2 linked regions of the Coturnix japonica genome follow. The protein of the gene in region 2 interacts with the protein of the main gene of each other region in a biochemical or structural test. Links are inferred from orthologs where the notes say so. Each region holds a gene or a part of one and is shown on either strand. Other genes may lie near its edges.

Region 1 (4,330 bases), on a different chromosome or scaffold from region 2:
AGCATAACCAAACATCATCTGCTTACTCACTTGAATGGTGCTTCAGCTACAGCTTTTGTGAACATAGCGGCAAACTCTCCAAGTTCCTCCCAGCTCTCAAAAAAAGTGACTTGGACACGTGTGCAAAGCTGCAAATCCACCAAGGCCTGTAAACATCATTGAAAACAGCAGATGGAACAACTCATCCTCTTACATCAAACTCCATTCATGACTGAAGCAACAACAACCAGTCCTAACATCTTGGTGTAAGTCACACCCATTCCTATTTTGGAAACGGCTTAAGGCAAAGTGTTCAGGGTTACTTTGCTGCTGTTTAATAGTAATTCAGTGCCAGATCAGCTGGAAGATTCCCATAACATGCAGGCAACTCACCCTGGACAGCAACAATTGGCTTTACCAGTAGGCCATGAAGTACAGGAAATGCTAACAGATTCATTTTTCACTTCCAGAATCAAGGTGAACAAGGCATGTTAGCCCATGAAAGAGCAGGTTTATAACTGAGAAGAAGGGAACTAAAAGAGCTCTGCTGATTGTACATAAATCAACAAAAGCTGAAGATCCCAGTCCTAAAAAGCATGTGATGGGGTCGAGTGTTCAAGTAGTGGCAGACAACAACTGCAGACTTGTTCTACTCACATCTTCCACATCCAGTCTGGTGATCTCCAGGCCAGGATGATTAACTTGTTTCTTCCTCTGATCTCCCCCATCTTCTCCCTGGCTTCTATTCACTGTTGTCTGTTGCAGTCTCTTTTTTGACTGAGCTCTGAGACATCTAAGAGAGGAAGATCAGATTGGGAATTCAGAAGGGCTGGGCTGCTGTGGAACATAAAACAACTCAGTACCAACACCCTGTGTTAAGAGAGGCTGAATCTGTAGAGAAGGTCTATTAAATACAAAACATTACATCTGACTAAGAAAATTCCTCTCTGCTGCATTTATTTATTTATTTTTAAGCCACAAAAGCCTTTCAAGAAAGTAGCTGTGAATACTTTTGACACCCTTGCACACTTCCCAAGATATTTATTACTGGGCAATGTGGTGACAAGTCAGATAGACCTTTGCTTCTGTTCCTATGTAAGAGATGTGGGACAGTTCTGGATGGGAATTCTTTATATGCTCCAGTCTTCGCCAGAAGGAATTGATGTAAAACACTTGCTGCCTTTTTAAGTGAAACAACACCGACATATTTGAGGAGAAAAATTCTAACCTGAAATATTTTTCTACTTCAACAACTGTTAGAGCCAGAATTTTCCCAGGCATTTTTTCCATCACACGAGCTACAAAGCTCTGTAAAGTCTCCTTCTGTTCTGCACAGCCCCGGGCCGCCTGCAAAGATCAATAGAAAAAAGGAGTGGGATCATTCCGAGTTGCACAGACAAGCCCAGCAAGGTATCGCCCGATGTTGCGGCTAAGTCTCAGCATAAGTGAAGTTCTGCTCCTGTAGCCTCAGGTGCCAGCAGACAGCGCTTCATCTAGTAACAAGTTACAGTAAAGAAAACAATAATAACAAAACATACAAAAAGCCCCACAACATACTTGACCTGACAACATCTATTAAGATAATGTTACTTCTTAAAAAGCCTCTGAAAAACAGTAGCTAGGAAAGAGAGCTTGCCAGAACTCTGCCTTAGACAATCTCAGTGTTTTTAATCAAGTACAGGCTTCTAAAAATCAGACTTATGACTTACTAAAATCATAACTTCCAACTGAAAAGGGACAGCAAATACCAGCTGCCTCTCCAGAAAAGCACATTGAGACAGCACAAAACTCGTAAGCAGACTTACTTGCTTGTAGCTATGAACCATAGACAGGAACTCTTCCAAGCCAAGCAGAACCAGGAGATTTGGCTCTTCTGTCCATTCATTACCATCCTCAGCCTGCCCAGATAAAGGAAAACAATAAAAAAAACCAGCCAAGCTAACACGCTGTTTGCAATTCAAAATCAAAGCAGTGCTCTCAACTTGAGGTAGGGAAATGGTTTAAGGAATGTTTGCTTGGGATGCTAAAAACAATTATTATCAAGTGCGAACAACGTGGGAAGAAAAGGGCAGCAAGAGAATCAAGATGTTGTCCCCGCACCTGAGCCAACACTGCCTTCCTCCTCCAGGTAACGCTGCAGGGCACAGCCTGGCTCTCCACCACACACGAGTAATTTGCAGCCTGCAAAGCAGCGCGGATCTGTGCTCCACCTTCCAGCTGTAAGAGAGCTGACATGGGCACACGGGTCAGGTTCCTGCGGCAGGAGCTGCCGTGAGGCCGGTCGTGCTGCCCGGTACCTGTGTCCAGCACGGCACTGATGTATTTCTGGCACTGCCCCGGCCGTTGCGCCTTCAGCACTTGGCCCAGCACCTTCCTCCTCTCTCTCTCCTCCTCCTGTTGCCTTTTCCGCGCTTCCCGCTCCTTTCTCCTCTCGCAGCCCGCCCTGCAAACCGCCCCCCGTTCCTGCTGGCTGTACTTGGCTTTCTTCGGAGGGGGAGATGCTCCCTCACGTCCTCCGCTCCCCGGAGCCCCCTCGGGCCGCTCGGTCACAGCAGCTGCGGGCGGTAACGAGTGTCCGCCGGCACCGGGCGCACTAACGGGGCTGACGGAACGTCCGTCGGGCGGCAGCAGAGCCGAGTCCCCGCCATCATCCACCAGCAGCAGCTCACGGCGCCCATCGCTGGGACAAAGGCCGCGTCCCCCCGCTCCAGCCCCGACACCCGCCGAGGGAGGAACCAGCCTCCGCCTCAGGCGCTCGGACAGCGGGGCGACCTCTACCTCGTCCTCGCTATCGCTGCTCAGCACCACGACGCCGCCCCCCGGCCTCACTGAGGGACACGAGGCCCCGGCGGGGGCGGACCCGGCAGTGGGGAGCGGCTGCAGCAGAGCAGCGAGGGGCGGCAGCTCCTCAATGGATGGCGGCAGCTCCTCGATGGATGGCGGCAGCTCCTCAATGGATGCCGGCAGCTCCTCCATGGATGGCGGCAGCTCCTCAGCGCTGCCCGCGGCCGCCGCCATTTCCCGCTCACGGGGCGGCCGTTGGAGCGGGCGTTTGGCGCGCTGCGCGCTGACTGGCCGGATCCCGAGCGCGTGCGCCTACAGCGGGAGCTGATTGGTCCGAGTGCGCGTGCACGCTTGTGTCCGGACCAATCGCTTCTCACCGCCCTGGAAGGGGAAGGGACGGGGCGGTGCAAGATGGCGGCGGGGTAAAGATGGCGGCGTGGGGGCGGCGGGGTGAGTGCGCGGCGGGACGGGGCTGAGGGCCGGGATGGTGCTGAGGGACGGGACGGAGCCTCTAAATCGGGAAAGATAAACCCCAAACGTTCCTTCACGTCTGTGTTGTTGTTCTCGTTCCCTTCCAGTCCTGTCGGTCTCTCCTCCGGCGCTGACCGCTGTCCGATGGGCCTCCAAGAAATCCGGGGGCAGCTCCAAGAACCTGGGAGGCCGCAGCCCCGGGAAGCGATACGGGGTGAAGAAAGTGGAAGGTGGGGCCGGGCACTGACACTCCACGCTGCAATAAGGCGCTGTGCGTTGTACGTGTTTACAAAGGGGAGAGTTACGATGTGGGGAAGCCAAAGTACAGATTAGTGCAGCAAAGCGCTTAATAATTAGTGAGTTTGCTCATGGAAACACGGCGGTGTTAAAGGTAATAGAACAAATGGCTTCAGCAAATAGAAAACACCTTGTGCTCTAGAAGCAATCTCCTCAAAGACCAAAATTGCATTTCCCCACTGTTTATCAATTGCCCTCTGTTTCCTAATGGCATTTTCTTTTAGGTGCTTTTTGCGTTTCGGTTCTTCCATAGACAAACCCCACATACAGCTCTTTAATTCCTGGAACTGTTTGTTCCTCTGCCAGCCTCAGGGCTTCAAGGAGCTCCGTTTCTCTGTGGTCTGATTCTGCCGCTCTGTTGCAGGTTCATTTGTGCACGCAGGCAACATTCTGGCCACCCAGCGATTGATCCGCTGGCATCCAGGGGCTCACGTAAGTAACAAACTTTATTTCAAAACCTGAAGCAGCAGCTGCTACTGAAGCCAGGATATCACACAGCACAGACAGAGCATCTGGTGTGCTGCGGTGAACGACCTCCAGCCTTTACTTTCTAACACCAACCTGGCTCTTTTACAGGTGGGGATGGGCCGGAACAAGACACTCTACGCCCTGGAGGATGGGATTGTGAGATACACTAAGGAGGTGTACGTACCCCCACCACGCAGCAGCGAGAGCAGGGAGGTGATCTGCGCTCTACCCAAAGGTGCAATTCTTTATAAAACCTTCATCAGTGTCATCCCTACCACAGAAGTAGGAAGTTTCAAGTTGGTCACCATGCTCTGAGTCTCCTGTGTGACAC
Region 2 (3,807 bases):
CACTGATAACATCAGCTGTCAATACAGAGCCTGAGACAAAACTCTTGGCTAAGGTGTGATAGATGCACACTGAAAAAGGAAGTCTCACAAAGACACAATCTGAAGAGAGACTCATGGAAAAGATGAAGGCAATGATGCTATAAAGTATAGGACTATGGATTTTTAAGCCACTAAGTCTACAACAGAAGACCCCAGGTTGTGGGGTCTGTATAGGTTCTGTCTGTGAGCTGAAAGCAAGAAGGGATCCAAAACAAACTCACGATACAAACCTGGCAGCCAGAGCCCCCACTTGGGGCACCACCTCAGCAGGGATGTCAGCATCAGCAGCATAAAGGTACCGCAGGAACGCACGGGCTGCCTCTCCTGTCACATCACTCAGCAACACACGGCGTATCTGCACGTTCCCATCCTCCTCCACTAAGAACCCTTCACTGTGAACCTTGTAAAAAACACAGTTCAATGCAGCTACTTACAAAGCAACTACAAAAATGACAGAACGTCTGTGTAGAACTGCCCAGAACTCAATCTTCCCAGCCTGGGTGAAAGGCAGGAGATATTGAGATGGAGAAGACAGTCTGCACCGGTATTAATATAACATCCAAAGGCACAGAGCACCTAGGAAGTTTTCTGTATTGCTCAAGGGCAGGATGTAAGTAAGGATCCTTGCCTCTTCATCATTTCTCCAGATAATGTAGTATGTTTTCCATCACTTTGTCACAATTCTGCCTTCCTAAGATGAGGGAATCTGCATGTCCGCAGGCTCCTGCCATTAGGACCTGCAGCATTGACTGTAGGTGTGGGCAGTCTGGGCTGCACTGAAGCAAAACAGAGAAGTGTATCAGCAGTACTTACAGCCTGAATGGCCTCCGGACACCGTGCATACAACACAAACATGTGAGCATAAAGGATTTCCCCAGAGTCCACCTGGAACTGGACATCACTTAAATGGGGATTGTTGACCATTGCTCTGAAATCTTCAGCCAGTGACCTCAGGGAGGACTAGAACACAGAATGAACACAAAGACAAGTCATATCACAGCTGTCACACACCTCCCTGATGAATGAGAGGAATACCCAGCCTGCCAGTATCGCTGTATTGCAGACCCCATTTTGGATCTGCTGTCACTGCCTTCTGCAGACAACCAGCAGCACTATCAACTCAAGTACAACAAGCAGACAAATCTGTAAGACACTTTTGGATTTGTTTTCCTCCTCCCTTCTACTTCTTCGCAGTCTGGCAGTTGTGAAGAAATGGCAGTTGTGCTGCACTCTGCTTTCTCTGCCTTGCATTACAGCACATTATCACCATCACATTTTTGCCAAACCATTTCCTGATGCGGTCTAGCCACTGCCTCCTGTTGGCCTCTTGATCTGCTGCCTTCCACCACATTTTAGAAAACTGTTCTTTTCTCTTTGATGGACTGGAACTCACTTCATTGTAATCAGAGCAAGAGGAAAGAGGATGAGTCAGTGATGGGGTAATGAACTTTTCTCCTCTCATCCATTGGCTGGCAGTGACAGCTAAGAAGAGCAGCTCTGCAGTGAGGGGCTCACATGCAATAAAACTGATGTAGTTATCTAGCCCAAAGGATTTTATATGCTCGTTACACAAACTCCTCTTGAAAATTCCACTCAAAAAAGCCCCCAAACAATAACAACAAAAGCCCCCTAGTTGCTATTACAGCTCCAGAATGCCTTGCTGGAAGTCTGGGGAGGGCTTGCTGCCTGAGCTACCTGTGATATCAAATGGCAAAGGCAACAGGAGGCTGGGGGCATGCTGCCAAAGGCAGGAACAATACACATGGCTGATGTACACAGTTTCTGCCCTGGAGCTGCTCCCAGTACAAACTCACCCCAAGCAACTCTCATAAGGTTCAGATCTCTCGAGGCAAATGTGCCCCTAGAGGTGGCCATTGCTTCAGAGAAGCAGGAAATAACCTCAGCTCACAGTTAAGAGAATGAGCAAGTGAAAAGCAGTTCATACACAACACACTAGGGATTGACCTTGTGCTTTTTAAGCCTGTTGCAGAGTCAAAGAAACACAAGTCTTACTCTAGAGAACATCTGCACGAGATGCAGTTCCACCTGGAACAACACAACTCTGAGCCTTAACTACCTCTGTTTCTATAAAAAGGAACTGGAAATATTCCACACTTCTATGAACTGCATAGTTTCCTCTTTACATTAGTAAGCAAACACAAAATAAGGATGGGGAAAAGGTTTTTCCTTACTTTCTTACAGCTGCGTGTCAGGAATCTCCTCTCTTCAAGTGAAGGGACAAAACCAGTACATGGAGTATCACTGGAAGTCAGTTCTTTTCCTCAAAGAAGAAAAAGTGGATCACAATCATGTACCCCTTCCTAACGAGACAGAGTGACATAAGAACTCCTAAGAGAACCTTTGCCACAGCAGTTCCTCAGGACAGCTGCTACAGTGAGCCTGATGGGGCTGACATCCCAGCCTGTCCCAACAGGCCTCACCTCCTGGATCATCAACAATCTGTGGGTGCTCTCATGGCTCTCCTGACACAGCACAACCAAAGTTTGGATCTGTGTAGCTGAAGGGATTAGGGACAGAGCTCATGAAACTGCCAGAACTTACCTGACTGCTCTGCTGCATGAGTATGGCCAACATCAAGTTTCCACTGAGTAAGGGTAAGTCCTTCCTTGGCCAGTTCAACTAGATCCTGCAGGTTCTGAATATCCTTCTGGCTGTGAGATAAAATCTGCCCATCTCCTTCAGGGCCTGACTTGGATTCATCACTAATTTGGTCTCTAACGTCTCTACAAGTGGACTCATGAGAACCAAAATCAGGCTGAATTTGCTGGGATCCTTTTGGCTGATCAGATCCTGCTGATGGCAGAACATCCTCTGGTTTATGATTCTGATCAAAAGAGGAGAATAAGACACCAATAAGTTAAGTCTTGTGTGTACTTTCAGAGCTCAGAATGCAGTCTCTAGTTCATACTTTCAGAATATCTAGTAAAGAATTACAGAGCATACCTCAGGCTTCCAAGGCAAAAACTCTGTCATCTTATGAAGGACGCTCTGGAGAAAAGATAGATATAAAGGGAAAAGGGAAAAAGGGAACTACAACAGAAAATACAGAAAAAGAGGTTTCACAAGGTGCATATTTGAGCAGGCAACTGGCAAGGAGGGAGAGAGGATAGTGGAAATGTTCCCAATTCAACATCTAAATATTTCATTATTGCTGAAATGTTTGGCAGAAGCTGTAGCTGAAGCTGCCCAGGTGCTTCTGTTCTGAGATCTAAAATACTTTTGCAGTTACATGTAACAAAGCCAAACTTTCACCTCTGAGCTGATATTTTCCAGGTTTGACTTCTGTTTCCCACTGAAAACAGTTTTATTTATTTCTAAGTAGAAATGGCCTAGCTATTTCTCAGAATGGAAGGAATGAGATGGGCAAACATGGCCCTGATTTTAAAGGTCTCCCTCCTTTTTAAACGTCTCTGGTGTTTTTGAGTGAGAGGTCAAAAATCCTCACAGAATGGAGTCCCTCTATTACAGCTCTGGGTAGGGATAAGACAGTGAAAAACTCTGGAATCCAACAAGGAAAAAAGTTCTTAAATAAAACACGTACATACACAGAGTAGTTTTTGAACAGAAGCACCAGACAATCCTTCAAGGAAGGCACAGGGGAAGGAAGAGAAGTAATATTTCTTCTTGGTGAGCAAGTATGTTGTAAGATGAGAGATTAAAAGGCTTTTGTCCCCTCTGAAGGCACTTCTAATAAAAATACAGAGCACTGAAATAGGCAGGAGATGGAGTTGAAAATCAGAATGAAAC

Evidence for each region.
Region 1: the proteins of SLX4 (region 2) and EME1 form a complex in vitro, tested with the Homo sapiens proteins (3 studies listed by BioGRID, with this or other methods). The link is inferred for Coturnix japonica from reciprocal best matches to the Homo sapiens genes SLX4 and EME1.

Annotation. Positions count from the first base shown.
Region 1 is NC_029533.1:9,102,557-9,106,886, forward strand, and holds the start of EME1 (crossover junction endonuclease EME1), read right to left. Parts: upstream 3,040-4,330; 5' UTR 2,998-3,039; coding exon 2,080-2,997; intron 1,878-2,079; coding exon 1,785-1,877; intron 1,327-1,784; coding exon 1,208-1,326; intron 773-1,207; coding exon 637-772; intron 147-636; coding exon 31-146; intron 1-30. Other genes in the region: MRPL27 (39S ribosomal protein L27, mitochondrial), read left to right, coding at 3,192-3,213, 3,342-3,464, 3,896-3,963, 4,108-4,314. UniProt on the Homo sapiens protein: Non-catalytic subunit of the structure-specific, heterodimeric DNA endonuclease MUS81-EME1 which is involved in the maintenance of genome stability. In the complex, EME1 is required for DNA cleavage, participating in DNA recognition and bending.
Region 2 is NC_029529.1:10,977,779-10,981,585, forward strand, and holds part of SLX4 (structure-specific endonuclease subunit SLX4), read right to left. Parts: intron 3,049-3,807; coding exon 3,004-3,048; intron 2,885-3,003; coding exon 2,602-2,884; intron 2,321-2,601; coding exon 2,232-2,320; intron 1,000-2,231; coding exon 853-999; intron 440-852; coding exon 270-439; intron 1-269. UniProt on the Homo sapiens protein: Regulatory subunit that interacts with and increases the activity of different structure-specific endonucleases.